2 linked regions of the Macaca fascicularis genome follow. The protein of the gene in region 1 purifies or fractionates together with the protein of each later gene. This does not show direct contact. Links are inferred from orthologs where the notes say so. Each region holds a gene or a part of one and is shown in the gene's direction. Other genes may lie near its edges.

Region 1 (15,758 bases):
ATAAAATTAACTTACTTAAGATGTACAATATAATGGTTTTTAGTATATTCACAGTTGTGCAGCCATTACCACAATCTAATTTTAGAACATTTTCTTTATTTTTATTTTTTTTATTTTTTATTTTTTGAGGCTCTTGCTTTGTTGCCCAGGCTGGAGTGCAGTGGCGCAATCTTGGCTCACTGCAAGTTCCGCCTCCTGGGTTCATGCCATTCTCCTGCCTTAGCCTCTCGAATATCTGGGACTACAGGCGCCCGCCACCACGCTCAGCTAATTTTTTTTTATTTTTAGTAGAGACGGGCTTTCACCATGTCAGCCAGGGTGGTCTTGATCTCCTGACCTCGTGATCAGCCCACCTCGGCCTCCCAAAGTGCTGGGATTACAGGAGTGAGCCACCGCACCTGGCTGACATAACGCTTTTAAGGTTCATTCTTATATAGCATGTATCAATACTTAATTCCTTTTTTAGCTGAATAATAATCTGTTATATGAATATACCAAATTTTGTTTATCCATCGCTTGATAGACAATTGGGTTGTTTCCACTTTTTGACCATTATGAATAATGCTGATGATACGCACATTTGTGTACAAGGTTGTGGACAATGTTTTTAATTCTCTTGAGTTTTTTATTCAAGGAGTGAAATTGCTGGGTTATGTAGTAACTCTATTATGTTCGCTTTTTTTTTTTTGCAGACAGGGTCTCACTGTCACCCAGGCTGGAGTGCAGTGGTGCAATCTTGGTTCACTGCAACCTCTGCCTCCTGGGCTCAAGTGATTCTCTGGCCTCAGCCTCCTGAGTAGCTGGGACTACAGGCACATGCCATCATCCCCGGCTCATTTTTGTATTTTTTGGTAGGGATGGGGTTTTGTCATGTTGCCCAGGCTGGACTTTTTTTTTTTTTTTATTTAAATATTTATGTTTTTGTAGAGACGAGGTCCCACTATGTTCCCCAGGCTGGTCTCCAACTCCTGGCCTCAAGTGATCCTCCCAGTTTAGCCTCCTGAGTAGCTGGGACTACAGACCCTTGCCGTCATGCTTGGCTGAATTTTTGGGTTTTTTTGTCACTTGTTGCCCAGGCTGGTCTCGAACTCCTGGGCTCAAGTGATCCTCCCACCTTAGCCCTCGAAAGTGCTAGGATTATAAACGTGAGCCAACACTCCCAGCCTAGAACTGTCATCATTTTACCTTTCTTGGTATCAGCCCCTCACCCCCGTTGTTTTTTTTTTTTGCATCATCCATTATGAATTTAACTCTCTTGCCACATTGATAAACAATTCAGTACTTTGCTGATTGTCATGCTTCCTAGCATTTTGTGTGTGTGTGTGTGTGACGGAGTTTCGCTCTTTTTGCCCAGGCTGGAGTGCAATGGCGCAGTCTTGGCTTACCGCAACCTCCACCTCCCGGGTTCAAGTGATTCTCCTGCTTCAGCCTCCCGAGTAGCTGGGATTACAGGCATGCGCCACCATGCCTGGCTAATTTTGTATTTTTAGTAGAGATGGGGTTTCTCCATGTTGGTCAGGCTGGTCTTGAGCTCCCGACCTCAGGTAATCCACCCGCCTCAGCTTCCCAAAGTGCTGGGATTACAGGCGTGAGCCACCACGCCTGGCCTTGTTTGTTTTTTAAATCTAATTTCTGAAGTAATACGTGGCCACCATAAAAACAAAAACACTATATAAAAAGAGCAACCGCAACAAAGAAATGGGTTAAAAACTTGAGTTTATTTTTTGTCACACATACAGGAAGTCTAGGCAGTCAACAGCTCTCATAGCAACTTCACAGTGACATTAGAGGCTCAGGATCTTCTCTTTCTGTGCCACCTTCCTCAGCACATAGTTTATCTTCTGGTTATCTTCTGGTTCACGGTGGCTGCTTGACCTTCAGCTATCACATCCTTGATCCATGCAACAAGAAGGAAGGGGGTTGGTAAGAAAGGTCACATCCCTTCCCTTTTAACAACTTTTTTGTGATATAATTGATGTGCAGTAAACTCTACCTTTTTTTGGGCGGGGGGGGGTGGAGTCTCACTCTGTTGCCCAGGCTGGAGTGCAGTGGCGCAATCTTGGCTCACTGGAACCTCTGCCTCCCAGGTTCAAGTGATTCTGCCACCTCAGCCTCCCGAGTACCTGGGACTACAGGCCTACGCCAGCATGCCTGGCTAATTTTTGTATTTTTTGGTAGAGATGGGGTTTTGCCATGTTGGCCAGGCTGGTCTTGAACTCCTGACTTCAGATGATCCACCTGCCTTGGCTTCCCAAAGTGCTAGGATTACAGGCATGAGCTACCACACCTGGCCACTGCACATATTTAAAGCATAAGATACGGTACTTTTGAAATATATATACATCTGTGAAACTATCCACAATTAAGGTAATTATTATAGTATCCGTTAACAGATGAACAGGTAAAGAAAATACGAGATATACACACACACACACACACATACACACATACACATACATATATATTTATATACACAGTGGAATACTGTTGAGCCATAAAAAAGAATTAAATCCTCCATTTGTGATTCCATGGTTGAGCCTGGAGGATAGTATGTAAAGTGAAATAAGCTGGACACATAAATACCATATGATCTCAGTTACATGTAGAATCTAGGAAAAATTACAGACCTCATAGAACTAGAGAATAGAATGGGGCTGGGTGCAGTGGCTCACATCTGTAATCCCAGAACTTTGGGAGGCCAAGGCGGGCAGGTCGCTTGAGATGATGAATTGGAGACCAGTCTGGGCAATATGACAAAACTGTGTCTCTCCAAAAAACATAAAAATATTAGCTCGGTTTGGTGGTGTGTGCCTATAGTTCCAGCTACTCGGGAAGCTGAGATGTGAGGATGGCTTGAGCCAGGGAGGCAACATGAGAGACCCTGTTCCCTACAAAAAAGAAAATTAGCCAGGCATGATGGTGCATCTGTGATTTCAGCTACTTGGGTGGGGCTGCAGTAGGAGGTTGCCTAAGCCTCAGAGGTGGAAGCTATAGTGAGCCATGATTGTGCCATGAAGTCTGGGTGACAAAGTGAGATACTGTCTAAACAAAAACAGTGTGTGTTTGTGTGTGTGTGCGTGTGTGTATACACATCACATATATTTGTGTGTTACGTGTATGTATGTATATACATATGCATGTGTGTGTGTATATATACACAGATGTGTGTACATGTGTACATATATACATATATGTGTATATATATAAACTAAGCTCATTTTTAAACAAAATAGGTAAACTGGTTTAAAATAGAATTTAATCTGTATATTTCCTCACATTTTTATTAGATAGTGTTAAGAATCCTTTTTTTTGTTTTGTTTTTTGAGATGGAGTCTTGCTGTGTCAGCCAGGTTGGAATGCAGTGGCACAATCTCAGCTCACTGCAACCTCCACCTCCTGGATTTAAGCGATTGTCCTAGCTCAGCCTCCCGAGTAGCTGTGATTAAAGGTGCACGCCACCATGCCTGGCTAATTTTTGTATTTTTAGTAGAGATGGGGTTTCACCATGTTGGCCAGGCTGGTCTCAAGCTCCTCATCTCAAGCAATCTGCCCTCCTCAACCTCCTGAAGCGTTGTGATTACAGGCCTGAGTCACCACGCCCAGTCATAGAAAAATAGTGTAAGAATACTTTAGTAAAAATTTTTAAATTTTATTATTTTATCAGCAGATTCTAAGTCATAAGGTTCAAAATTATATGCAATGGCTTGCTCGCATTATTGTCCCCCATCTACTGGTGTTAGCAGTTTCTTGTGTCTCTCCAGCATTAATTTTATGTGAGCAAATAAATACTTTCTTTTTCCTCCTCATCCCCGTCATTTTTTAACACAAATGATTATATACTATACATGCTGTTCTTTTTTTTGAATGGCAGAGGGGGTGGTCTCACTCTGTCACCCAGGCTGGAGTGCAGTGGCATGAATTGGGCTCACTGCAGCCTCTTCTGGGCTCAAGGGATCCTCCCACCTCAGCTGCCCAAGTAACTGAGACCACAGGCTGCAGGTACGCACCACCACACCTTGTCAATTTTTTTTTTTTTTTTTGTAGAGATGGGGTCTCCTTGGGTGGCTTGAACTCCTGGGCTCAAGCTATCCTCTCACCTCTGCCTGCCAGAGTGCTGGGATTATACGCACGGCCCATTGCACACCTCGCATTCATTGGCATCTTTTTTTTTTTTTTTTTCCTCCTTCTTTTTGAGACAGAGTCTCACTCTGTCCCTAGGCTGGAGTGCAGTGGCGAGATCTTGGCTCACTGTGACCTCCGCCCCCCCGTGTTCAAGAGATTCTCCTGCCTCAGCCTCCTGAGTAGCTGGGACTGCAGGTGCTTGCCACCATGCCCAACTAATTTTTGTATTTTTAGTAGAGATGGGGTTTCACCATGTTGGCCAGGATGGTCTCGATCTCCTGACCTTGTGATCCACCCATCTTGGCCTCCCAAAGTGCTGGGATGACAGGCGTGAGCTACCGCGCCTGGCCATTGGCATCTTTTTTATTCCAAAGTTTGAACTCCAGGCCTTACACTTTCAGCACACCTCTCCTATTATTTACTGCTTGATGTGTAATAAAGCTTTCCTCATTTTGTAGGGTATCAGTTAGCAGAGCAATCAAGCCCTTTGCAGAACCTGGCCGCCCTCCAGACTGGTTCTCTCAAAAAGTAAGTTCCCAAGCAAGTGCTCTTTTAGAGCAGTCTTTGGGTTGTAAAGTAGGTTCTCTACCAGGCCCTGACTTTTAATTACAAAGCTTTTATACCATGATGTGGAAAAATAGTTGAGAATACACCTTTTTCTTTTTCCTACTGTTTGCTAATCCATCCATGTATGATCATATTAGACCTTTCTTATTGGTGTTGCATAACAGTTAAGAGCCCAAGCTTGGGAATTAGATCTGGGTTCATTATTACTGCATCTAAAAACTTTGGGCCATGATCCTCTGTTTTTTCATTTGTAAAATAGAGATAAGAGTTGCTTCAGGTTTGTTGTGAAGTTAATTCAGGTAATACATGTAAAACATTTAACACAGTGCCTTGCATGTGGTAACTACTTAGTAGATATTAGCTATAAATATTGGCAGTTAGGTTGCCTTTCCCCAAATGCACAAACTCCAGTCCATAAGACGCCCTTTTTCTGTGTCTTGTTTTGATTATTTTGAACTGATTTGATTATAAAGTTACTTGCCCTCCTAGTAAACCACTCCCATCTTACATATAGTTCTCTTCTCTAAATCTTACTCTAATCTCTTGAAACTTTGAAAGGTCATTTCTTTCCAGGCTTGCTCATCATATTTTCACTTTTTTTATAGCATTGTGCTTCCCAATACTCGGAGCTTTTAGAGACCACTGAGACACCAAAGTGAGTACAAAGCCAGGTACTTCAGCCAAATTTCTTTAGTGGAGAGTATTTACTGAGGAATTCTGGTTTATACTTACTTATAATACTGGGTGATATAAAAGTGGTAAAAGCAAGTAGGAGAGGGGATAAATGTTCTCTTACTCGAATATGAATTTTTTTTTTTTTTTTCCAATTTTCCACAGACGGAAACGAGGTGAAAAGGGAGAAGTGGTGGAAACTGTTGAAGATGTCATTGTTCGGAAACTGACTGCTGAGAGAGTTGAGGAACTAAAGAAAGTGATAAAGGAAACTCAGGAGAGATATAGGTACTTATCAAAGAGAATGCCAAAAGATTGAGAAAGACATAGGGGCTGTCTTCTGGTACTGGTTGGAACTTTTTAAATAGCAGATTAAAAAACCTAGTCTACCTACCTCTCTTTCTTCCTATAGACGGCTAAAAAGAGATGCAGAACTAATTCAAGCTGGACACATGGACAGCAGACTGGATGAGCTTTGCAATGACATTGCAATGTGGGTTATATTATATTGTTCTTCTGTGCCTCTTTCTTTTTACCCTCTTTTCTACTCAAGTAATCTGGCTTATTTCCTACAACTGCCATTCATTTAGACTTCAGACAGATTCTGGAAGGGGAAAGCGCAGAGTGGCTTGGTGGCTGGGAGTGGGGAGTGAGTCCTAGAAGGTAATGTGATGGAACATTTCAGTATGAAAACATAACTTAGTTCTAACTTTAAAGTGGCTATAGTTTACCTAGGTGAAGAACTGTGAGTTAGGCACTATACTCCAGTTCCCTGTTTTGCTGGTTAGAATTCCTGATTAGGCCTTTCTTCCAGAAAGTGCTGGCCTGGCAAAAAAATTTCTTTGTAAGGGTTCTGTGAACTCTGGGGAGGAGCCAGAGCTGTCTAGCATCCAACCGTTAATTCCCTGTTTAGGAAAAAGAAATTGGAAGAAGAGGAGGCTGAAGTAAAGAGGAAGGCTACAGATGCTGCATATCAGGGTAAGCTGGACCTAGTATAGCTGTTTAGCAATTAATTGCACAGTACTGCATGCTAATGACAGTTGGACTATTTTGTAACATAGAATCCATTGATTTAAATTTACTTGCAGTTTTCTCTTCTACCAGAATAAAAACATCCCTTAATGTCTAAGAAGAAACTCATAGAATATGAGTTGTTTTCAGATCTCACTAGACCTTAAATTAACTTTAGGACACAAAGGCTTGATAAGAAGATATTCAACATAATGTTTTAGAAGTCAAGGGCCTGTGAAAAGATTGAGAATAGCTCAGTCATTGGATGAGGGGAAAAATTTAAGTATTTACAACTCTAGGAATACATGCTGTGAGCCAGTGAGGTCTTTGCCTGTTTTTGTTTTTGTTTTTCCCCCAGGCTGAGTTTTGCTCTTGCTGTGCAGGCTGGAGTGCAGTGGTGTGATCTTGGGTCACTGCAACCTCCGCCTCCCAGGTTGAAGCGATTCTCCTGCTTCAGCCTCCCGCGTAGCTGGCATTACAGGTGCCTGCCACCACGCCTGGCTAATTTTTGTATTTTTAGTAGAGATAGGGTTTTGCAGGCTGGCCTCAAACTCCTGACCTCAGGTGATCCACCTGCCTTGGCCTCCCAAAGTGCTGGGATTATGGCCGTGAGCCGCCGTACCCAGCCTCCCTGTTCTTAAAAGCAGAATATTAATAAGTTGCTAAAGAGAATTTTAAAGGGTGTTTAAACTACTTTCCCACTCCAAGGACCTTTGGGATAATTAAGTAGTTTGAGATTGTTAAAGGAGATTGCTTAGTGTGAAAATTGCCCTTAGGAAAAATTATGCTAAAAAGTTATCCATCTCCAGAAGTGTTAAAGCTTTCTAATTCAGACTCATTGTGTTGCTTTACTAATGCAGCATTCCTATTTGTCCTTTATTGTATAATAGTAGAATAGTGTCAAGTGTCATTTATTTAATCTTGAAGATTTGGACATTGTTCTTTTTTATGTTCTAGCTCGTCAAGCAGTAAAAACACCCCCCCGGAGGTTACCCACTGTGATGGTTCGCTCTCCTATAGATTCTGCCTCCCCAGGAGGTGATTATCCACTTGGGGACTTGACTCCAACCACTATGGAAGAGGCTACCTCTGGGGTGAGTATATTTCCTTCTGTGGGAATTGATAAGTGAAGGGGCAATAAGCCGGCAGAGCTGAGTGATGAGGAAACCACTTTTGGCCTAGAGGCAGCTTCCTCTCTTGATCTGAATGCTAAAGACTTAATTTACCCTGTTCTGTGCTCTGAGATAAGACCGGACCTAAAAGCATTGAGGCTTTTGACCTTTCTGAGAGATAGGTAAAAAACTATTTTAAGGAATTGTTTCATACTAGTCTTATGAAATTCCTGCGAAATAAGGGACAAAATCCTTGTAAATGTAATATTGGAGTTCATAAAAGGCAGGTTGGGTGGGATGGTTGAGTCATTGTGGGTTTGAGTGGATGAAGGAGAAGATTGTGGGGAAGAAACGTATGGCTAAAAGCAGGAGGGATAGAGGGTTTCTGGGCAGTTCCACTCAGGACTAATAAAATAATAGTTAGACACACTAACCCATACAGATTAGTAGGGAACCTTCCATAGTTTGAGAAGTCAGATAAAGGTTCTCTGTTGTCTCTTAGGTAACCCCCGGGACTTTGCCGAGTACCCCAGTCACCTCGTTTCCTGGGATTCCTGACACCCTTCCTCCAGGCTCTGCACCCTTAGAAGCCCCCATGACCCCAGTAACAGATGATTCACCCCAGAAAAAGATGCTTGGACAGAAAGCAACTCCACCCCCCTCCCCTCTGCTGTCAGAGCTCTTGAAGAAGGGCAGCCTCCTGCCTACTAGCCCCAGACTGGTATGGAGACTTCTGTGGGTGTTTGAGAGCTGTGGTGATTTAGTACTTGGAAGGGAGTGCCTGGGACCTAAAATGTGACATGGGGAATAAAAGTTCAAAAGAGGAAAAGATCTCCTAATTAAATGTTAATTTTTAAAAAATACAGTAAGTTGATAGTACCCATGGGTCCTGAGGTATCTGAATCACAATTATTTTGGTTCTCTTCTCCAGAGAACTCTTGTCAGATAAGTTTTGAACATTATAGTTTAGAGTTTCCCTTGAGTCTTAAATTATTCTCCGTGGATATTAACTATTAGTTCTCATGAAGTTTGATCAACTGCTGGAGCTTTGTTGGGAAATGGTAGTAAAGGAAAGCTTGAGTGTAGCCTTCACCTCTATTCTTCCCTGGTAGGTCAATGAGAGTGAAATGGCTGTGGCTTCTGGCCACCTGAACAGTACAGGTGTCCTCCTGGAGGTAGGCGGGGTCCTTCCCATGATACATGGTGGGGAGATACAGCAAACACCCAATACTGTTGCAGCCTCCCCTGCTGCGTCAGGTAAGTTACCACTTTTCCTTTACAACCTCAGAGGTGTTGAACTTGACATTGACTCAGTTTCACTGTTTGTTACTAAGCAGTTGTCAGTCCTAGATTTAAAGCCCAACTTTTTCTAACTTTTTTTTGGAGCTACTTTACCTGGTAAACAATGTAGTCTCCATATTATAAAGCCATCTGTCTTCAAGATACTGATAGCCCTGATTGACCACTGCATGGATATTGAGAGTAATATTGAGCTGCTTTCTTAGAGCTTGCAAAATCAAGGTGCTAGAGATACCTAAGATTATAGAATAGTGGAATAAGGCCTGCCACACATTGGTTTTGTGACCTTGGATAGGTAACTTAGCTTTTGAGCCTCAGTTTCCTTTTTTATTGTAACATATATACTTCACAAGGATGTGATGAGAATTTAATGAGGTAGAAAGTATAAAGCAGGGAAGGAAAAAAAGCTCCATAGAATACCATACAAACCTTATTGGTATTTGAATGGTGTTAAACTTGGGTGGTTTTACAATATGCTGAACTTCAGCAGAAGTGACAGATTTATTCATACCAGTTTTTTGTTTCTTGATGATTAATTTTCCTCTGAGGAAGAATTACCACCTTTTTTTTTTTTTTTTTGGAGACAGAGCCTTGCTCTGTCGCCCAACCTGGAGTGCGGTGGCATGATCTTGGCTCCCTGCAATCTCCACCTCCCTGGTTCAAGGGTTCAAGCAGTTCTCCTCCCTCAGCCTCCTGAGTAGCTGGGATTACAGCGCCCGCCACCACACCTGGCTAATTTTTTTTTTGTATTTTTGTATTTTTAGTAGAGGCAGGGTTTTACTATGTTGCCCATGCTGGTCTCAACCTCTTGACCGCAAGTGACCCACCTGCCTTAGCTTCCCAAAGTGCTTGCATTACAGGCGTGAGCCACTGCATCTGGCCTCACCACCCATTTTTTATATATGTTGTGTGTTCTAGTGCTTTGGTTCATTCCTAACTTGGAGGAAGATCTTAAGTAAGGTTAGAGAGGGTAAGGATATAGATGATGAACTTACTCAGTGCAGGAGTTGCTCTCATCCTTTGAGACCAAAAGAATTTTCTTAGTTGAGTCTTCAAGTAGCTATTGCTTCTTGTTTATGTGCTTTCTTCTTACTTCATTTTGTGTACCTCTTTATATGTTAGGTGCTCCCACTCTTTCCCGGCTTTTAGAAGCTGGTCCTACACAGTTCACCACACCTCTTGCTTCCTTCACTACTGTTGCCAGTGAGCCTCCAGTTAAACTTGTGCCACCCCCTGTAGAGTCTGTGTCCCAAGCTACCATTGTCATGATGCCTGCGCTGCCAGCACCATCCTCTGCTCCGGCTGTCTCCACTACTGAAAGTGTAGCTCCAGGTGCGTCCCTGAGCAGCCACAAGGTCTAAAATTTCATTTTGAGCTTCAGTTAGAGAAAAATGACCAAGAGCATCGGCTCCAATTCAGATGCTGCTTCTGTGTTCTACATAGACATGTGCCATCTTTATCCTTAGAAATAAATATCCTTAGATGTGAGAAGAGGTGGGTGGGCATTTATGTATTGCAGGAAGACGCTAAGTGTACAAATGTGAGCAGGCTTGAGATTATGTTCTCACCTTTCTAGATAAAACTGGGGAGAAGAAAACATAGGCACATGTATGATGACTTTCTGATCTTAAGTGTTTGGATATTTGACATCTGTCTATAGCGCTGATGTGATCTCAAGGTGGTCACTTTGTACCCAATAAGCTTCTGAGATGGCTTTTCTCTTTCTATTATTCAGTAAGTCAGCCCGATAACTGTGTTCCCATGGAGGCTGTGGGGGATCCACATACTGTGACTGTTTCCATGGACAGCAGTGAAATCTCCATGATCATTAATTCTATCAAAGAAGAGTGTTTTCGATCAGGGGTAGCAGAGGCCCCTGTTGGATCAAAGGCACCCAGCATAGATGGGAAGGAAGAATTAGATCTGGCTGAGAAGATGGATATTGCTGTGTCTTACACAGGTGAAGAGCTGGATTTTGAGACTGTTGGAGACATCATTGCCATCATTGAGGACAAGGTAACTATTCAGTGAAGCCCCAGAGAATCTCATGGGTCCTACATAGGCTTCTCTCTTCAGCCTCACTTTGCTGCTGCTGTTTTTTTTTTTTTTTTTTTTAAGAGACAAAGTCTTGCTCTGTCATCCAGGCTGAAGTGCAGTGGCACGATGTTGGTTCACTGTTACCTCTGCCTCCCAGAGGTAATTCTTGTGCCTCAACCTCCTGAGTAGCTGGGACTACAGGCACGTGCCACCACGCCTCACTAATTTTTTGCATTTTTAGTAGAGATGAGTTTTGCCATGTTGGCCAGGCTGGTCTCAAGCTCCCGGCATCAAGTGATCCACCCACCTCGGCCTCCCAAAGTGCTGAGGTTACAGGCATGAGCCACCGTGCTTGGCCTCTTTACTTCTTACAGTAAGAATTACTTAACTCTGCCTATCTCCATCTTTGTAGCCCTTTGGTGCTAACATACTAGTCATCTCCCCAGGCCTATCTATGTTACTGGTTTACACAGAACAGGTGCCTGTTCATTGTTTGTCTCCACTACATGGAAAAAATGGAGAGAAAAGCTGCAGATTCAAGCCATCACATTTGGTGCTAACAAAAATTGAGGGACTTGAGCTTCTTTCTGTGACCTCAATAGTCTTGTGTTTTGTGGGACAGGTAGATGATCATCCTGAAGTGCTGGATGTGGCAGCAGTGGAAGCAGCACTGTCATTTTGTGAAGAAAATGATGATCCTCAATCCCTGCCTGGCCCCTGGGAGCATCCTATCCAGCAGGAGCGGGACAAGCCAGTACCTCTCCCTGCACCAGAAATGACAGTCAAGCAAGAGAGACTGGACTTTGAGGAAACTGAAAACAAGGGAATACATGAACTGGTGGACATCAGGGAGCCCAGTGCAGAGATCAAGGTGGAACCTGCAGAACCAGAATCAGTCATTTCAGGGGCTGAAATAGTAGCTGGAGTTGTTCCAGCCACAAGTATGGAGCCACCAGAACTCAGGAGTCAGGACTTAGATGAGGAACCGGGAAGTACTGCAACTGGAGAGATTGTTGAAGCAGATGTTGCCATTGGGAAAGGCGATGAGACTCCACTTACAAATGTGAAGACAGAGGTACTTAATAAAGATCAGGGGCTGGGGAGATGGAGGGTTATACCTTAAGTAAGAAGTGATAGCTTAGGTTTTTTGGTTTTCCAGTTGCATTCCTGAGTTCTGACATGTTTGATGGTCCAAAGCCCATAGGCTGTGATTAGTGTTATATATACTTATTCCTGTTAAGGTGACCATTGGAGTCACATTACATGAATAGGACTTAGAATTTCTTCTATGGTCTCATTATCATTGAAGAATAAAGTTGTGTGAGCTATAGTGATTTACCAGTACTTAGGGTGTTTTTTCTTTTCTGGTTTTCAGGCATCCCCTGAAAGCATGTTGTCTCCATCACATGGCTCAAATCCCATTGAAGATCCTTTAGAAGCAGAGACTCAGCACAAGTTCGAAATGTCAGGTAAATAAAGTCCTCTTTAACTAACTTGAAATCATTTGCTTTGGCTTCTGAGGGATTGTGGGTTGTGGGCAAGTAGAGGAGGTAGAACAGGTCAGCATGGAAAGGAGAGCTGCAGGGGATTATGGTCCATAGGAAGGGGAAGGCTAAGGTGGAAAAATCTTCAGGTAGTCTTTCTCTCCTCTGCAGACTCATTGAAAGAAGAATCAGGGACTATTTTTGGAAGCCAGATAAAGGTATTTCAGACTTTTCTTTATTCCTCTTGCCATGTGATTAGATTTCCCTATAGCACTACTTTTTAATGAATTTCAGTAAAGTCGCATTTTTATTCTCTGATAAGAGACTGGTATGGAGTTGCGTGGGGAAAAGCTGCAGTAGACAGGCATAATGGGAGTACTGTAGCAACAGGTGCCTCCCATATGAAACAGCTTGTGAATATCACAGTCCTTAAGAAGCCTTGATACACTTAGAGTGATTTGGAGTGAATAAGGATACCAGAACTAAGGAGAACATACAGGAATCCAGTTTATTAATTAGACTATCCAAAGAAAATCATCCAAAGTTTTCTTTTTAGAATTATTAAAGCAGTAGTAACAGAGACTTAAAGAATGCGATGTGAGCTTGCTCCATCAGATGAGACACAAAATAAAAATTATTTTTGATAACTTTGTATCCAGGGTCAGAGTTACTCTTGAACAAGGGGAAAGAAGGAACGCCTCTTAGCTTAGTCTTAAGTAAGTAGCTTTTTTTTTCTTTCTTTTTAAAAGATCCTGGGTATTATTCTTTGTCCAGGTTCTAAATTACTTAAGTCAGTGTCTTTAAGTAGATGGTAGTATAAGTGATAGACAGCTAAGTCAGGAAACAGCGTGAGGTCATTTCTAGAACTAATTCTAACCCAAAAGACAGAGCATGTTTAATGATGCTTTGCTGGATAGCTTTGCTTGCATTTATTGACTGGAGCATACTGTGTCTAAGGATGCCCCAGGTGAGGATGAGGAGGAAGATGGTGTCAGTGAAGCGGCCAGCCTAGAGGAGCCTAAGGAAGAGGATCAAGGAGAAGGTTATTTGTCAGAAATGGATAATGAACCTCCTGTGAGCGAGAGTGATGATGGCTTCAGCATACACAATGCTACACTGCAGTCACACACGCTGGCAGACTCCATCCCCAGCAGCCCTGCTTCTTCACAGTTGTGAGTATCTGAGATTCTTCCTTTGAGGCTAAGGCAGTGAAGGTGAGAAGGAGAGGATCTTTTCTTCCCCTCCCCTCCCCTCCCCTCCCCTCCCCTCCCCTCCCCTCCCCTCCCCTCCCCTCCTCTCTTCTCTCCTTCTTTCTTTCTTTCCTTCCTTCCTTTGTTGTTCTCACTCACCCATGCTGGAGGGCAGTGGCGCGATCTCAGCTCACTGCAACCTCCACTTCTCAGGCCCAAGCAATCCTTTCACCTCAGCCTCCTTAGTAGCTGGGACTACTGGCCTGCACCACCACACCCTACTAATTAAAAAAATTTTTTTTAGTAGAGACCAAGTTTTGCCATTTTACCCAGGCTGTTCTCAAACTCCTGAGCTCAACAGTTGCCTCGGCCTCCCAAAGTGCTGAGATTACAGGCATGAGCCACCATACGTGGTCTTTTTCTTTATTTTTAAATTTTTGTTTTTAAAAGATGTTCTTTTAAGAGACAGAATCTCCCTATGTGGTCCAGTCTGGTCTTGAACTCCTGACCTCAAGCAGTCTTCTTGCCTTGACATCCCAAAGCACTAGAATTAGAGGCATGAGCCACAATGCCTGGCCTGATCTTTTCTTTAGTGTTTCCCTTTTTTGGCCTGGAATAAACAGTTGACAAAAATTATTAGGGCTGGGCATGGTGGCTCACACCTGTAATCCCAACACTTTAGGAGGCTAAGGCAGGAGGATCGCTGGAACCCAGGACTTCGAGACCAGCCTGGGCAACACAGTGAGACCCTATCTCTACAAAAAAATTAAAAAATTAGCTGGGCATGGTGGTATGCACCTACAGTCCCAGCTACTTGGGAGGCTGAGGTGAGAGGATTGAGTCTGGGAGGTTGAGGGTGCAGTGAACATGATCACGCCACTGCACTCCAGCCTGGGGGACAGAGTGAGACCCTGTCTCTAAAAAAAAGAGATAATTTTTTATATATATATATATATTTTTTAACTTGTGCCTAGTGAAATTGCTGTATCTCTGTTTCAGCTCTGTCTGTAGCGAGGATCAGGAAGCTATTCAGGCACAGAAAATTTGGAAGAAAGCCATCATGCTTGTATGGAGAGCTGCAGCTAATCATAGGTGAGTGGGCTTTATCAGTCAGTAGGTTCATTTTCTCTTACTCTTCATTGTTGGTGACTGGAAAAAAGTCTGAGTAGGCTTCTGTGGAACTGCTGGTATTGGTTCTTACTATCTTCAGCTACTTAGAGTAAGTTCTCTCCCTGTTCTTCTGGAGAATGTCAGTAATTGCACCTTATTCCTTTTGGACAGGTATGCCAATGTCTTCCTGCAGCCTGTTACAGATGACATAGCACCTGGCTACCACAGCATTGTGCAGAGGTGAGCCATGATCCACTCAGCATGGTAACTTGCCTGAATTATAAGTTGTCCAGTCTTAGTGAAAGTTTTGCTTTAGATAGAAAGTTTAAAGCAAGTAAATTTATGGTTTTGCTATAAGGGGCACTAAGTACTAAACTGATGATTCCAGTGGCTGGATCACCACTGATAGTCTAAAAGAATAAATCCTCACCGGGAGTGGTGGCTCACGCCTGTAATCCCAGCACTTTGAGGGTGCTGAGGTGGGTGAATCACTTGAGCCCAGGAATTCAAAACTAGCCTGGGCAACATGGCGAAACCCCCTCTCTATAAAAAATACAAAACTTAGCCAGGTGTGGTGTCGCGCATTTGTAGTCCCAACTACCTGGGAGGCTGAGGTGGGAAGGATTGCTTGAGCCTGGAAGTTCGAGGCTGCAATGAACCATGATTGTGCCACTGCACTACAGCCTGAGTGACAGAGCCAGGCCCTGTCTCCAAAAAAAAAAAAAAAAAACACACAAACTCCCTTTATTACCTTTCTCAATGCTTATTATATAGATTGTTAAATGGGTTAAGTGCATGTTTCGGGGTAAGGGGTTAGCATTTAAGTCCTGGCAGCTGCAAATTAAGGTATATATGAGAAAGTCTGTATGATGATAATGTATTCAGAGATCTAGATGAGTCCTCTTCCCACCCACACTGCCACTTACCCCTGTTCTTTTTTTTAGGCCTATGGATTTGTCAACTATTAAGAAAAACATAGAAAATGGACTGATCCGAAGCACAGCTGAATTTCAGCGTGACATTATGCTAATGTTTCAGAATGCTGTAATGTACAATAGCTCAGACCATGATGTCTATCACATGGCAGTGGAGATGCAGAGAGATGTCTTGGAACAGATCCAGGTACTTTGAGGATCTTTTGTGTTTCAGCAAGG
Region 2 (16,213 bases), on another chromosome or scaffold:
ATGTCCTCCCACCTCAGCCTCCCAAAGTGTTGGGATTACAGGCGTGAGTCACTGTGTCTAGCCTATAATATACATACGATATGTGAAAAGTAGCTCCTGTATATAATTTATAAATAAATATAAATATTAATGAGATCAAGTGGATTCTTGATCAAAAGGTTTGAGAACTACTGGTACACAGGAGATGGAAGACCAGTAAGCCAGCAGTCAGAATCTGATGCAGAGGGAATTTGGCTAGAACACAGATGATAGGCATCCAGCTCAGCAGGGAAGGAAGAGGAGGCAGTTATAGGGAAGGCTTCCTGGAGGAGATTACATGCTGAATTGCTGCAGTATATTCGGGGGAGGGAATGGGGAAGAGGGAAAAAGAATGTTCCAGGCAGGCTACACAACATTTGCAAAGAAAGGCAAGGTGGCTTTTGTGTGAACAAGTGAATGCATTTTGAAAACTAAAATGGCAGCATGCAGTGGCTCACGCCTGTAATCCCAGTACTTTGGGAGGCCAAGGCGGGTGGATCGCTTGAGCCCAGAATTTGAGACTGGCCTGGGCAAATGGCGAAACTCCATCTCTACAAAAAATACAAAAAATTTGCTGGGCATGGTGGCATGCACCTGTAATCCCAGCTACTCAGGAGGCCGAAGTGGGAGGATTGCTTGAATCCAGGAAGTTGAGGCTGCAGTGAGCCGTGATCGTGCCACTGTACTCCAGCCTGGGCAACAGAGTAAGATCTTATCTCAAAAAAAAAAAAAGAAGAAGAAGAAAGAAAACGAAAATGATTTGGTACATCTTGAACTGTCAGTACGCGTGGGAAAACTGTAGGAGGTAAGGCTGGGATCAAATTTTTCTGCAGAGATCAATTTTGGTCATTGAAAAGTAGGAAGCTTATTCTGGTAGTGAAAGTTACCACTAAGACATTCTAGCAGGGGAGATGAGATCATGGAGTAGTATTCCCAATTTGATCTTCTAGTCCAATCTCCATTGATACTTGTCTGAGTCCTAGAGGAAACGGACTGCAATAGTGTGAGCTGGTAAAACCTCAAAAAGCTACAACAAAAAAGGTGCTAGTAGCCTTTGAAGTTATAGAAATCCTCAAGACTGTGCATTGCTGTGTGAGAATCAGTGATGCCTAAAAACACATCTTTGGGCAAAAACGGTTGTGCAGTCTTTTACAAGCATTAGTGGCCTTAGTGCCTCCAATACAGTCAGCAGCAACTGAAGTTATCATCTGAGTGAGCCAAAGCTGGAAAGAAGGGAAATAATAGATACTAGAGCAGCCAAGAGGGTAGTACACGGAGTCCAACCAAGCCACCCCTAGCAGACCCTTAGAATAGATTGAGGAGGACCTTGCAAAGCACCTAGTGCTCTCTCATGTGAGGACAGACTGGGCTTGTCTCATTCAAATTGTATCCCTCATATCTTGCATGGTGGAACAGCACTGCAAGGCTGCACAGATCCCAGGGTCACTGTTCATGCAGTTGCCTATATAAATAGAGCTTTCTGGAGTTGTGTAACAGGAGCCTTGCATAGATGTTCAATCAAGATAGGTTAAAGGCAAAAATGAAATAGTAATTGCTTAGCTGCTTTTGTTAACATTATTCTAAATCTCAGGTTGGGCTGGCCTGAGCAGCAGTGGCTCCCATCAGATTTGGGTTTGGAGTTATCATCTGGATAGCAGTGTAGCACATAACGTAGGGGAATGCATCCAAGACGCTCAATTAGAACTGCAGTGATTGGTGGTGTGTTTTACTATTTTAGTTCTGGAAAAGTCCTAAAAGGAACTGGAAATAAATGCCATAACTACGTATACAGTCAGTAGGCAGGAGGAGCCAGGTGGCGAGCTAGGGGCTAACACTCATGAGGTCGCTGGTGGCAACTAACGAGAATACCCCCATTACTCATTCTAAGGCTAGCTCTTAATCCTAGGCAAAATGAGACTGGGGGACAAAATGAAAATTAATCAGCAGAGAGCAGATAAAGCTGATTCATTTCTGAGCTGGAATAAAATCAATACAGAGAACTTGGTTGCATAAATATTAAACAATAAAACCTGGAATAGACATCATCCTCCTTAGAAGAAGATGGAGCCTAAAGAAGGCATGCCATTGAGCCCAAGGTTGCTGTTGGTGGAAGTGGCAGCCTTAGTATTCAAGAGCCGGGGAACATCAGACATTGTAAGTGTCCACAGACTTGCATGAGCTGAAGAAGACCGAGATTCATGATCTGCTCATTCGACACAGTGGTGACAACAGAAGAAATATCTAGTAAACCTGAATAGCACCTCAAGAGGGACCTGGAAAACAATCTAAAAAGCCAGAGAAAGCTAGAGTTGAAGGCAGTATAGAGTTAGATTCAAGATAGAATCTAATGTTCATATAGATCCTCTTGCATCGTTAACAGATGTCCACACAGGACACAGGAAGTGCACGGTTTTGATTATCAGTGTATGCCAAAATAAACCAATTCCTGCATGTGGAGGACAGACAGCTGTATGAAGCAGGATCCTCAGTGTCTTCAGTTGGCTCCATTAGACCAGTGGATTCACATCTTCCAGCAGCTGCCCCATCTCGAGGGCACTGGACATGCTGGATTTGGAGAGACTGTTATGGGATCTCAAACCATTTGTAATGCTAAGTACCACACTGTGGGGCCACTGCACATCCATACTTTGTGCCTACACATTGGGAGGCACTAGGCTCTGGGGAGAGACACATGTTTTCAAGGAAGGCTCTTAAACCCAGAGAATGCTTCTTGTCTACAGCCACTGTCATATCATTCTGACTTCTCAGTTCCCTCACTGTCCCTCTCCTTTCAAATATTTTTACTTCCCAAATCAGACAGATAAATGTTTTTTGCAAGTACAGAGGTATGTCAGTCATCACCTTCTCTCTCGGATGCAATAAGTTGAATTGTTTGTTTTATATATTTTTGTAGCTTAGATGTTGACTTTATCTAAAGGAGTATCCTTGAAACAAACACTTTAAAAATGTAAGTACAGAAAGGTAAGCATGCTATTAGCAATTTTTTAAAAACTTTGCATGTGGTTACTATCTATATATTTGTCCTTCTATTGTTTATCAATGCCTTCTAAATGCACCACGAGTACAGAGAAAAAACTGTGTGCACCTGGGAGAACTTGCTTGATGCCCCTGGCGTCAGTTTACCACATTTACAAAACCAGTGGTTCTGACAGCCAGAGCATCTTCCAGATCTAAGAGATCATAATCATGTATCTTATACAAAGACCAGAAATGCCTAGAGTATACAGATTTTTAAAAACTAGTATAAGCAGAATGACACATAAACAAAGCTTCAGTCATATATGAAGAAGTAGTAGGGTGGATTATTTTCAGGCAAAATGAACTGATTCCTTATAAAATAGTAATAATTATCCAAGGTAGAGAAAATAATTTTGTCTTAAAAATCAAAATCTTGATTTACTTCGGAAGTTATTTTAGCTCACTTCATTTAAAAAAAAAATCTATTTTTTCAATTTGGTCTAGCAAGGTTTTATTTTAGGAATAGTGAAACTGACAGGAGGTAGTAGAAAGCCATGCATTAGTGAAACCCAGGCCCCTTACTTCCTTCATCTTTCACCTGCACATTTCCGGCACTTTCCATCTTGGAACTTTGTTGCCTGAACCACCTCTCCACACTCTTGGGAGTTAATAACTCCATATAGACAATTTTTCCTCCGGAGGACAGAATTGCTACTTCTTGAAAGCTATTGGGGCTCCCAGATGCTGCACAGTGGGGGTGCCTCACACTCATCTCTAAGAGTAGCTGTTTTGGCACCATTTTTGGCTGAAGTTTTTGTATTGCATTTCCATGTCATTCGGTGTGATGTGTGCCTGCCAGATATTCTGCCTGCTCTCAGTTGAAGGCCTTCCCAGATTGGGCAGCTGAATGTACTGCACAGCTGCCAAAATTCTAATTCAAGATCTAGAATTCTAACTCCTGCTCTTTAGACCCTTGTCTGGCCTTGGCCTCAGTCCCCTGCCAACTGGGTCCCTGGCTCATTATCAGGCCCACCAGGGCCCTGCCCCCTCCCTCATTGGGACCACGAAACCATTCTTGGCACCAAACTGAACTTCAAGACACAGCTGCCCCAGCCCCACCCAAGCCAAATCTCATCTCAGCAAAAGTTTGTCACCTTGTAAGCTGCAAGACAGAAGAGATGAGAAGAGAAAATGATACCCGTGATGGTCAGATCATAAAACTTCCTGTAGCAACAGACATATTACATGTACCTTTACTCTAAGAACTTGCATGAAAAGCAAACAATCCCATTATTAGAAATAACACTAGATAGGGATGCATAGAGTTTATGGAGGGAGGAATACTATTTCTCCATTTATCTGCACCAGAGGGTAAGTGAAATTTGCGGTAAGGAAAAATACTAAATTCAGTATGCACATATTAATATTAATAAAAAATGTACTGTTGGGTCATAAACTGCTGATAATGTGTAGTATTTCTTAGGCACCTGAAAACTGCTATGGCAAATAGACACTTTACAGCAGAAATATGACTGCAACTGGAGGAGGGGGTGGGGACCAGAAAGTAATTGATAATCAGCAAAATGCTGGTTTTCAGGGAAGCTACTAAATTCAACTTAAGTGGTTACCTGGTCAACATTATGGTTTAAATGCTCACAGGATGAAATCGCTTCCTTTTTAAATAAGAGTCACCATTTCCCTCGCCGTTGTTTCCATTCCTTCTAGCCTTAACCAATGCACCGTCCTTTCTGCCGTGGCTGAAACGAGGTTGGGTTAATTACCACACCTGAGATGGTGGAGTGGGTGCAGTGGGGTGCTGTAATTTCGGGTGATTAAATTATTTTAGCTTTTGTTTTCCTAGAAGGAGCAGGGAGTATAAAAAACGTGGTACATATGTAAAACACAGGCAAATGCACTTGACAACCAAGCACTCTATTTTGAAATTTAAATAAAGCTAAGATTTTCTTCTGGCCTAGAGGGAAGCTTCATTAAAATCAATTAGTACAAACCTCCGGAGAATGCAGACTTTTTCTAAAGAAGGTTTAAAGAAGAAGGTGCACACAATTACCTTTCCCGGGTCCCCTGTGAATGTGTCACACCTAGACAGGTGGCTGAGTACAAAAAAATGTCCCCGAGAGGGGCCAGGGTAACTCCCTGAGTTCTCCTCGCAGGAAGGTAGGTGTAATTAATCCATGTGGGTGCATTAAGAACGTCATATACATAACCAAGGAGGCTCCAAACAGATGGCACGGATCGCAAGCTGTAAAGGGCAGGCCTAGCGAGATAAAGTTGGTGGCAGGGCTCGCAGGTGAGGCCTGGGTCCGGGCGCTGAGGTTGGGGCCGCACAGCTGTAGCCGCGCGCCCTGGTCCCTCCTCCCAGCTGCGGCGGCCTCCCCCCCGCCCCCGCCCCCGCCCTCCCCGCGCCGCTCCCGACGCCGCCGCCGCAGCCGCCGCCTCCCCTCTGCCTCCCGGTGGCTCCTTGCTCTCCTTCCATCTCTCTCGCCCCCTCTCCCTCCGTCCCGTCCTCGCCGCTCCCCTCACCCCGCCTCTCTCCCCCTCCCCCAGCCCCTCCTCTCCTCACCCCACCCGGCCTCCCTCCCTCCCTCGCCCGCCCGGCGCTCGCAGAGCCGACACCAGGGGGGCTCTCGATGTAGCACCATGACAGGCATCGCCGCCGCCTCCTTCTTCTCCAATACCTGCCGATTCGGGGGCTGCGGACTCCACTTCCCCACCCTGGCCGACCTCATCGAGCACATCGAGGACAACCACATCGGTAAATGGCCCGGGGGTGGGCGGAGGTGCCAGGCGCGCGGAAACTCCTGCCTGGGCGGGGAGCCCCGGAATGGCCAGGGGTGGCCCGCAGGGAGGGAGGCAGTGGGCCGGGGAGGGCGCGTGCGAGCCCCGAGGTGGGGGTGGCGGGATGCGGGGACGCGAGGTGCCGGGGGGGGCGGGGAGCGGTCTGGGGTGGGGGAGGGGGCGGGCGCCCCGAGGTGCCGCGGGCGGGCGGGCTGGCGGCTGGGGGACTCAGGGGCGTGCACGCGGGCTGCGAAGTGGTGGGAGCGGGGAGCGCCGCGGCGGGCCGGCGGGGGGTGCGGCGGCGGGGCCGAGCGCCGGCTCGCGGGGCGCGGGGCGGAGGGCGCGGCGGGCGGCGGGCGCTGGGCGCTGGGCAGGGGCGCGGAGTTAGTTGGCCCGGGTGGTCGGAGCAGCCCGAGGCGCTGAGGGCAGCGGGGGGCGGGCGCTGCACGCCGCCGGGCGCTTCCGCCCCGGCTCGAGCTGTCAGGGCTCGGCGGCGGCTGCAGCCGCTGGGAGGTGGAGCGGGGGGGCGGGGGTGGCTCCACCGCGGCAGCCATTCCGCTTCCTCCTCCCGCCGCCGCCGCCGCCGCCACTGCGTCCTGTCAGCGCCGGTTGCTAGGTGTGGTGCATCGGGAGGGGGCCGGGGCCGGCGGCCGCGGGCGGGGGCCCGGGCGCTTGCCCTCTCTCTGGGAGGCGGCCGAGCGACCCGGGCGGGGCCGGGGACGCGGGCCCGGGGGCTCTGGGTGCCCTCCCGTGCCCCGGCCTGGCGCGGACGCCCGGGCGCTGCGGGCTGAGGTCTTGGGTGCGCCCGCGGGCCGCGCCCAGCGCCCCGGGGTCGACGCGCCCTGGAGGCCCTTGCGGCAGCGTCCGCTGGAGAGTCACCCCACCCCCCGGGCCCATGGCCGGGGATTTAAATGCACCCCGGCTCTGCGATTTGCCTTTCTAATGGTGCTAGGCCCGAGGTGCGCTGGCTGCACCCTGGGACCGGCGGCGGCCTGCGCAGTGCCCCGGGCCCGGGGGACGCCGGGGAGAGGGCGCCCCGCGGGGTGGCTACTTTCCCTTCACGCCTGGACCCCTGGACCTTTCAACAAATCCTCTGATTTGCAGAAGTCCTTGCACACATTTTCACACTTCTATTCGGAACCGCTGCTAAGGGAGGTGGGCCGGGTGCATCTGGCTCAGGCGGTCCAACCACCTGCGGAAGGTGTGGTCGACGCCAGCGAATTGTCCTGCGTGGGCTGGAAGGTGAAGGGTCCGAGCGGTGTCCCAATGGGGCTGTCTAATCCAGAGAACCTGTAAATTGCCCCCAGGAAGTCCAAATGAATGCCATGGATTCAGCCATGTGGATGCAGCTCACGTTTCTACAAAGTTGAGAGAATAAATCACGACCGCTGTGTATTTATGCAGGAATAAAATGAGGCAGAACCCTATGCTCCTTTGCTTAGTATAGTGCTGTCTCTGCACACAGTGGGTGCTTAATAAGTGTTGAATGCCTGTTTAGAATGTGATTTGATGGGCCATCCGGAATAGGAGATAATCATGGGAAACGTCTACAAAATGTCTTTCAGAAGAAAATTCTGTTGAGTAATTGTCCACGTTTTGAAACTTTTCAAGTTTTCAGGTGTCCTTGTAATAGCTTCTTCCATTTCCTCTGCTAAAGGTGTGACAGAAGAGCTGGGCAAGTTTTGGTAGTCTTAAAAGCAGTTTAATGGAGCAAGAAATTTGCTGATTCATATCATGATTGAATAGTCATTACTGAAAGTGCTTTAAAGTATTAAATCAGATTTTTCATGATGGCTAGTTTAAAATAAAGCGAAAACACCAGTACTGTGAAGTTCTGGTAGAAATGTTACTAGTTTAAGTTCTTCCCCTTACTCCCAATAATAAGTAAAAAATAAGAAATATAAATAATGCTATAAATTCATATGTATGATATAAGTAATATAAATAAATAATATCTCTTGACTTAAGGAAGGCTGTCATTGCATATCCCATTCATTCTCGCTAACAGTTATTTCAGAATAAACTGTAATTTATGTAAGCTGAGTAATAATTTTACCCCATTGCCTGCCTACTTAGACAAGCTGGTTAAAAGACAGTATAAATTCTATTTATTAAGATGTGTTAAAGACAGTTATCCTTCTTGAGGAGTTTGTATGAGATGGTCTAAAACTTGGTGAGTCATGAGGTTTTTTTAAGTGTAGAAATTGTCCTAATATTTTGCACACATTTTTTTAAGAAGGTTAAGAGTTCGATACATTTTCTAAAACTCAACTTTGAAGTAATGCTATCTCATTCCCAGAAGGCTAGTGTTGTCCTTTTAATAGTGAAAATATGAAAAAATTAAGTTTACAGCAATAGCAGTGACCTAGGCGAACTGTGTCGCAGGGCTAACACAGTTGAAAATAGTTTGAACCAGCAAACTTTATGAAAAGCAAATGTTAAAATGAATGAACACTTGCAATTCCCAGGATGAAGAGGCTCAAACTATTATACACCTCTGCTGGGGAGAGGCCCTTTACTATCAAAGGCAGCCCTATATGCAGAAAGAAGTAAGAATTGATCTTAAGAAAGAATAAAAATATCCCGATTCGTAGATAGTGTCATAATACACTTTTGATGAAGAGACATGGGTGAAAATATAAAGCATTTAGTGAAAGTTCTAGACTGGTATTGTTATGTGGTATTTATCGTTTGTAATTCAATCTATAAGAGTTTGGAGACTGTTATTTTTAATGATTGACTTACTGATTTCATATCTGTTGGTGAGTGGTTACATTAAAAAGATTCAGGAAAAAAATAAGAGATGTGTTATTTTGCTTTTAATTTGTTAAGCAGTCTTGTTATTTAGCAACCATGAGTATTAGAGATATGCTTAGGCGAGCGTTCCATTTTGGGGGCCTATCTGGGTTATTACCTTTAGCCGCTAGTAAAAACCCTTAAACAGCGATAAAATGAACATTTATGGGAATGTGGTGTGTTTCTTGCTTGGCAGATTTTTCAAGGCCTGTATTTTTCATTATCAAAGTATTATGTTTAGTTTGGATTAATTAAGCACATTAAGTTGAGAATAACTCTCTGTTATCTTATACGTGTATGCTTAACTTTTGTTTTTAACTATTTTCCTCTCCCCATAATGAACAAGGATTTGGGGCTTTGGCACCAAGGGAAGTGTGATTTTCACCATCCACTGTTTTAGCTCTTTTCCCTCCTGGAAGGGTGCTGTACTGGTATTCCTGTTTTCTTTCTTGCATTTCACTGCTGGTTCAGTACTGGAGTACCTGTCTCAGTGTACACACTGAATATCCTAGCTAAAACTGTCCCCCATTCCCACTTAAATTTAAATTGCCTAGAAATCCCATAGCCCTGCAACTGTGAAGTGCTTCTCCATCAATTTTGTTATCAATTCATTCATAGGTCTGGGTCTGTTACATGGAGGTGGGAAAAGCAGGTCCGGATTTGCTTGCTTCTTATTTTGAGTAGGTATTTGAGTTTGTAGAAACACTCTTGGTATGAACATCCTAGATAGATGAAGTTAAACTGGTAACCGGGAATCTTAGAAACACCAGAAGCACTAAATTTAGCACTGAAGGTCATGCCCCAGGCCCATGAAATGCCTGCTGCAATCCTGCATCCCAGTGCTGTGAAATCGTATGACTTTTCGTCTCAGAAACACAACTGTTGAATCATTCTTATTTATTTGGTGCATTTTTAGAAGTACCTCTGCATTTTGAATTTATTTATGTAATAATATATTGAGTCCCTGCTTTATGCCAGGCAAAGTTATGAGCACTTGATATTTTTTGGTTTACCAAATGAAGATACCACTCTAGGAAGTTTATATTCTAGGGTAGGGGGCCGGACAATAAACAATTGAAGTATGTGATATACAGTATGTTGGGAGGTGGTTAATGATACAGAAAAGAGAAAAACTAGAGCAGGGTCTGGAGGGTTGGGAGGAGAAGGTATTGGAATTTTAAATAGATTGGTCAGGGTGGGCCTTGCCGAGAGGCTGATATGGGAGACAAAACCTCGAAGGAGGTGTGAGAGTTAGCCGTGAGGACATTCCGGGAGCCAGCAGTGCACAGGCCCCAAGGCAGGACTGCACCACTTGAATAGAAACACAGGAATCTGACCCAATTCAGTTATTCGTGTGATAGTACCAGACTAGCAGGTCATTCAGAACTCTCCTCAGATGTTAGGACTCTCAGCTTTGCTATTGAAAGAGATTTCCCTGCAAGGGCCCAGTTAAGGGGCAGAGTCTCACTGACCAAGAATGGCTTGCATTAGCTATAACTTGGTTCTTAACTCCAAATATCAACAGGTTTCTTGTTGTGAGTCTCTACTTGTTAGTTTCCTCATCTCCAAAACCCAGGTAATAAAGCTATAGTGCTTCATTTCATAGTATAGATTTATAAACCATCTAATTAATAAAGGTCAAAGTTTCCGGAAAGAAAAATCAGGCCACTTACTATCAAAAATATAGAATTTAGCTCCTAAGATGATTTAGTAAATATTTGCATTATCTTCTCAAAGGAGCACCACAGTGTACTAAATAGATAAGTCATACAGTCTGTCATTGGCCCTTATTACTCCCACTTTTAGGTGAGCAAACTAAGGAACAGTTTATAATTGCCTAAGCTTTCGTGGCTGGTTTGTATGATTTGGAGATTTGAATTCCAGACAGGTATGCAAAGCTGAGCCTATGCCAGTTGCCAATTAGGTGAAGAACTCGACAGTCCCCTCCTCACCTCCCCTCACACGATTGGTCTGTGTTTCCTCCTTTAGAAAGTAACTGAACTCCACATGAAGGTCATCTGAGCAGTGGCATAGTGAACCCAGACTGCTTGGGGTTGAACACACATGTCTGCCACTTGTCAGCCGTATGACCAGGGACAAATTAACCGTACTGTGCCTCCTCTGTAAAATGAGGATAGTAGCAGCACCCATCTCACGGAGTGGTTAATGAGGATTAAGTGAGATAATATATGTGAAGTATTTATCTACAATAATAAGTTGTCTACGTCATGTAGTTTCTTGCCATTTGTGTATCTGCTAAATAAATATGTAATCCTACTGTTAAAGTCTACCTTCGAGATTAACATGGGTTGTATCCACCTATTTGTGGTATTGTTTTGGGCATTTTATAACTGTGTGACATCATTGGGTTCTTCCTGGGAAGGACTGACAACGGGAAATAGGAGACCCCTCAACAATCTAGCGGTAGTATTGCAGCCTCTGGCCACGTTCTCTTTTGTGTGGCCAGAGGCACTTTATACCCTGGCAGAGGCATTTGCCACAGTGGACTGGGAAAGTGGTGTTAAAGCCAGCGGCCTCCAACATGGCCTTTCCTTGTGGCCTGAATTTATTTGAAAAAATCCAGGACTAGAAAGAGGCACTGTGCCTTGGGCCTGTGGGTGCATTCCCTTGAGAACACTTCCTGTGGGGAGAAGGAATGACTGAATGAACAAATGAATGAATGAAAGGCTTGTTGCTGTCTGCCCTGTTCTCTGCCTGCACCCTGTGGCTTGGCGGCAAGATCTCACTGTTACTCCCAGGGTTCCCGAGAAGCCCCCAGGTGTAGTGCTAGGAGAAATTTTAAATGCATGTGCATACACACACACACACACACACGCACACACACCCACACACACCATAGGCAGGATAAGGGAACCCGAAATCTGAAACTTCATGGCAGTCTCCAAAACTCTGTCTTCACTGGTTTTTGCATAAGCCTCTTCTCACCTGTAAACAGTCAGATCATCCTTCAGAAAACATCACTGTTGAACATCCTGTCTCATAAGTTTCACAAGCTTCTAATTGTTTTCATTTGGTATACACATTTTCTGACATGTGACCGAAATGTACAGACACCAAAACTCTGCATGTAACTGGGTTGACAGAAACCTCCATATTCTTCAGAAAATGGTTTTCTTTAGCGTTCATATATTTCAGAGATATCTCCTACGTTGACAGTTCTGGAAATACAAACTGACAGCTGTTTTGAGAAAACCCAATTCTTCCTGTATATGACAATGAGGACGCCTTAAGGCTGGTACAGGCTGGTGACACTTGATGAGGGGCTTCCCTGGGACTGTTGAGAAGCCAGAGGCCTGGTATTGTAGAGCATTGTTTCTGAATTCCTTAAAAATCTTCCTTTTCTAGTTTTTGCTTCTAGGGCAAGAATCATACATACTCCACATTTCCTTATATTTCTCCACCCCATTCTTACCCCTGCCTTTAGATCTTAACAGTGCAGACGTGTCCTGCATACAAAGAAATACCTGCTGGATTGTAGATACACATTTTGTTTCCATGTTGACCTGGCTAACATATTAAATTGAAAAGTGTTCTTTATTTAGAATCTGTAGATGGGAAACCATAGATGTCAGAAATTCATTATGTGTGTATTTTTTAAAAGTGCCTTTCATTTAATATATTTAATTGGTGTAAAGAAAATTGTATTTTCCCCTCGCTGTAAGCACTGGAACATGGCAGTAGTTTTCACCTACTTTTTTTTTTTTTTTTTAAAGCTAGCTGCGAGCAGGGACCAGATTAGTGGATATCCTCTTTAAGGGTGAAGTCTTTCCAATTGCTCTCAACTTTGGCAGGAGTCAGAGGGACTCTTCTAGGGTCACTAACAATAGACCGTCTGCCCAGCACCAGAGAGCACTGATAGCCCCTGATGGCCATTGTCCCTTGCCCGGCTCACCCACGGGCCTCCCAAGGAAGCACTGTTTATTGCCTGCCAGACTTCAATGGTGACTTTCGCCTGAGATAGACCTCCTTGAAGGGACATGGTCTGGATACCAGGTTAATAACACTGAAAAACTCACCATTTTTTTGGTATTATAGATATAATTGATATATAGAAATAAATATATATTTTAGACACAAAGGCATATAGGATATCTAACACATATATAAATAATACATGTATATGTCTATACACATAGCACATATATGTGTGTATGTATATCCACATGTTTGTATACATATTTATGTGTGTGTATATATACATTTGTATTATACATTTTTCCCTCTCTTTTAAGATCACCATGGATAGTGAAGACAGCCACATATTTTTTAGTATTTCTTATATGTTAGTGCTTAAGACAGTACTTCCTATCTCTAAGGATTTGAAATTTATTTGGAGAGACCAGACATGTACAGACTGAGATAAATGATGAATAATAATAGGGAACACAGAGGCAGATTTATTGTGAAGTTAATGAAGCTCCAGCCCCAGGGCCCCTCACCTGTACAACACATTCCTTGCCATTTTTGAATATATTGCCAGGGCTCACCTAGCACTTTCCAGGCCCCTGGAGGAGCCCTAGCAGTGTATGTAGCTGGGCCTTTGTGAGATCATAACTGGTAAAACTGGAAGAAGATTTTAACAGCAATCACTTAATGTTTTTCTTTCTCATTCTGACTTCCCTGCTCTCACATTTCTGTTTGGGTTCGATGACGTTGGACTTGAAAGTGCTTTTGAGATATAGCTAGAGGGAAGTCAAATTGGGGCCACATTTCGTTTGGGCTTAGTGGGATGTATTTATGCAGTTCACAGTTACCTCTGTGTCAAGTTATCCGTAGCCATCCTAGTGTAGAAATTGCTTCATAGGATCGCCACCCATTGTGCCAGCTCACCTGGGGTCCTTACACAAAGGGAGAGTCAGAGCATTGCAGTGTTAATGGGTACCGTGACATCTGCTGTGGGATGGTTTATGGTGTATGGAGCCAGGTCTGTGGAGAATTCTTTCACTTGTTAGATGTGTAAGATTCTACGTGGAGGATTCAGTTCTTATCTAAGTGTAGTCAGTATGAAAATTCTCTTCTTTTAGGAATATAATATACTATTAGAAATGCACTATTTTTAATGAGAATTCTGTGTTTAAGATTCTTGTTCATTTGACATGAATATGCCTGACACCAAAAATACTGACAACAGACTGGTTAATGAGTATCATTGATAAAAAGAATGTTTAAAGTTAGTCACTACATGAGAAAACTTGAAATGTCCTGGGTTTTTATGACTCATATGTGAAAGAAAATTAAGAGATGTGATTAGAGGTTTGATAACAATCCTAAAAATGTATATGTCATTGCCAATAAAGAACTATAAGGCCAAAAGTAAATTTTCTGAATTATCAATAATTAGGAATAAATTTTGATCACCCATGCTTGAGGGGAGATTGAGTCATCTTTCTGCCCTGTAGAAAATGGTATGAATATAAGTCTTTGTGATATGAGGATTCGTCAGAGTATCCAGCCCAAAAGAAGTATTTATAACAGTGTGTCAGGAAGTTAATTAATACACATACTGGGTTCTTTTCCTGGATTCTGATTTTAGGATGTTTTGGGATTGCAGCTTGTAAAATTTTGTGATTTGTTGTGATTTGTTAATCTCAATAAATAATCACTTTGGTAAACATTTTATAACATTCAATTTTTGTTTTTTTCATAAGAAAAGGCTGAATCTGCAGGCCCACAAAACTTGGGTCTATTCCATGAATTCCCAGTTCGGGAATCATGACTATCTGCCACAGACTGTGCTAAATAATTTTTGTATACTATTTCATTGGCCCTCACAGCAAGCCTGTGAAGTAGACATTACCCCCATCCTATACGTACTGCCTTCTCCTTTGGAGTTAAATATGCTACCATATTAATTAAATACCACACCTAGTGAAATATGAACTAGAGTGTTTGTTTATATTGGTATAAAACAGAAATATTTTCCTTCAGGACAGAAAGCCTCTTTTACCTCAATAAATATCATTATTTTAATAGGTCTTTCCCTTTCTGTCCTGTTGCCCCTGCCCACAGCTGCACCAGCAGGGGTGTGCATTGAACTGTGTGGTCACCTCCTGTGCACTGTTTCCTCCCCCAGAAACTCAGGGTCTTGTCATCATCCTATCCTCCTCCCCAAGACGTGTTTTCAGAAATGGTATGAAAATAAAAATTGAGAAGTACTTTGGGCTGTGAAAAAAATAAATTACAAAGGTAACTTTGGACAGTGAAAAACATCTTTGAAATTAATTTCTGTAGGTTTGCATCTATGAGGGCTGTATATTTATGTGTTTATGGCATTCACACAAATACCAGTTATGCAATTAGTCCACTGTAGTTTATATTAAGGGAATCTGAAAAAGACTTTTTTAAAAGCTGATTTAAAAAGGAAATTGATTTTCCTTGTTAAATTGCCAGGGGTATTTGGTATACAGGAGGCAGAGGCCTGAGTGGTGAGAAGCATGGACTGTGAAGTTACACAGAATTGGATTTTGAATCCTCCTGATCTCACTAACTTGAGCTTTTCAAACCTGAGCAGCTCTTACAGTCTTATTTGTATGAGATAGTAATAGTATTATTTATTATTTGGGGGGTCCCGAGATTGGTTTCCTTTCACAGTACCTACTGGCTAGTTGCTTTAATATGCATTATACAGTGTTAGTCCCATGCAACACAGGAGGAAGCCAGGACACAGAGCAAAGAACAGCCAGGAAAATGCCTGGGGTAGCCAGGGACAGCTTTGCTCCCAGGTGTGCCCATATACTCCGTACTTGCCCTTTACACCCTAAGTTGTGATCTTTTACAAGACGTTTGCATTTTCATTGAAGGCTCTTCAGCACCTGAAAGTCTTGCAGAAATAAACACAGAAAGGCTGGATTTCCACCAAGAGCAGTGTGGATGGGAGCAATATGGATGGTTGATGAAATATGTTGATGCTGGTTGTCTGGTTGAGGTAGAAATGTTTCTGAATGTTTCAAGACTTCTGAAGCAAACGCTTAGGTAGGACAGGAGGGTCCATGAGCATCCCATCACAGTAACAACAATGAAAACAATACTTTGGCAGTTCTAAAATGGTTGTAATTACTGAATTGTCTAAAGATACTAGCTGGATTTCTCTCCCTCACTGATGATTATTTAAGGATAGGTTCTCCTGACAAACGCAATACCTAACCCTCACACACACACACACACACACACACACACACACACACCAACTTCTCTTTTGCTTCAGATTTCCAAAATTGAAATCATGTAATTATGTTCATGTACTTTACTTTATTATTATTTTTCAGACAGGGTCTTGGTATGTTGCCCAGGCTGATCTTGAACTTTTGGACTCCAGCGATCCTCCGCCTCAGCCTTCTGGTAACTGGGATTGCAGGCACATGGCCCAGTGCTCAGCTCATGTACTTTATTTTAAAGATTTTTTTTTTGACCAACGGTACATACATACGGGCTCCAACTGTAAACATTGTGAATTAAGCACTGAAAACCCTCAGTGCTCGTGGCCTGTGTGTAGAGCCCTCACTGCTGGACATCTCCCTGGTGCCATCCACACAGAGGGCACACGTCAAGTCCTGTCACTCCAGCACCAGATCTTAAATTGCTTCTGCAGGAGCACATCTGGGCT

The links.
Region 2: the proteins of BRD8 (region 1) and JAZF1 purify together in Homo sapiens (affinity purification with mass spectrometry; 3 studies listed by BioGRID and IntAct, with this or other methods). This does not show direct contact. The link is inferred for Macaca fascicularis from reciprocal best matches to the Homo sapiens genes BRD8 and JAZF1.

What each region holds. Positions count from the first base shown.
Region 1 is NC_088380.1:144,651,556-144,667,313, reverse strand, and holds part of BRD8 (bromodomain-containing protein 8), read left to right. Parts: intron 1-3,871; coding exon 3,872-3,999; intron 4,000-4,580; coding exon 4,581-4,650; intron 4,651-5,294; coding exon 5,295-5,344; intron 5,345-5,526; coding exon 5,527-5,649; intron 5,650-5,773; coding exon 5,774-5,854; intron 5,855-6,274; coding exon 6,275-6,339; intron 6,340-7,329; coding exon 7,330-7,466; intron 7,467-7,986; coding exon 7,987-8,205; intron 8,206-8,596; coding exon 8,597-8,741; intron 8,742-9,905; coding exon 9,906-10,115; intron 10,116-10,518; coding exon 10,519-10,799; intron 10,800-11,442; coding exon 11,443-11,895; intron 11,896-12,195; coding exon 12,196-12,289; intron 12,290-12,475; coding exon 12,476-12,522; intron 12,523-13,261; coding exon 13,262-13,476; intron 13,477-14,493; coding exon 14,494-14,586; intron 14,587-14,775; coding exon 14,776-14,844; intron 14,845-15,548; coding exon 15,549-15,726; intron 15,727-15,758. UniProt on the Homo sapiens protein: May act as a coactivator during transcriptional activation by hormone-activated nuclear receptors (NR). Isoform 2 stimulates transcriptional activation by AR/DHTR, ESR1/NR3A1, RXRA/NR2B1 and THRB/ERBA2.
Region 2 is NC_088377.1:102,085,406-102,101,618, forward strand, and holds the start of JAZF1 (juxtaposed with another zinc finger protein 1), read left to right. Parts: upstream 1-5,437; 5' UTR 5,438-5,655; coding exon 5,656-5,770; intron 5,771-16,213. UniProt on the Homo sapiens protein: Acts as a transcriptional corepressor of orphan nuclear receptor NR2C2. Inhibits expression of the gluconeogenesis enzyme PCK2 through inhibition of NR2C2 activity.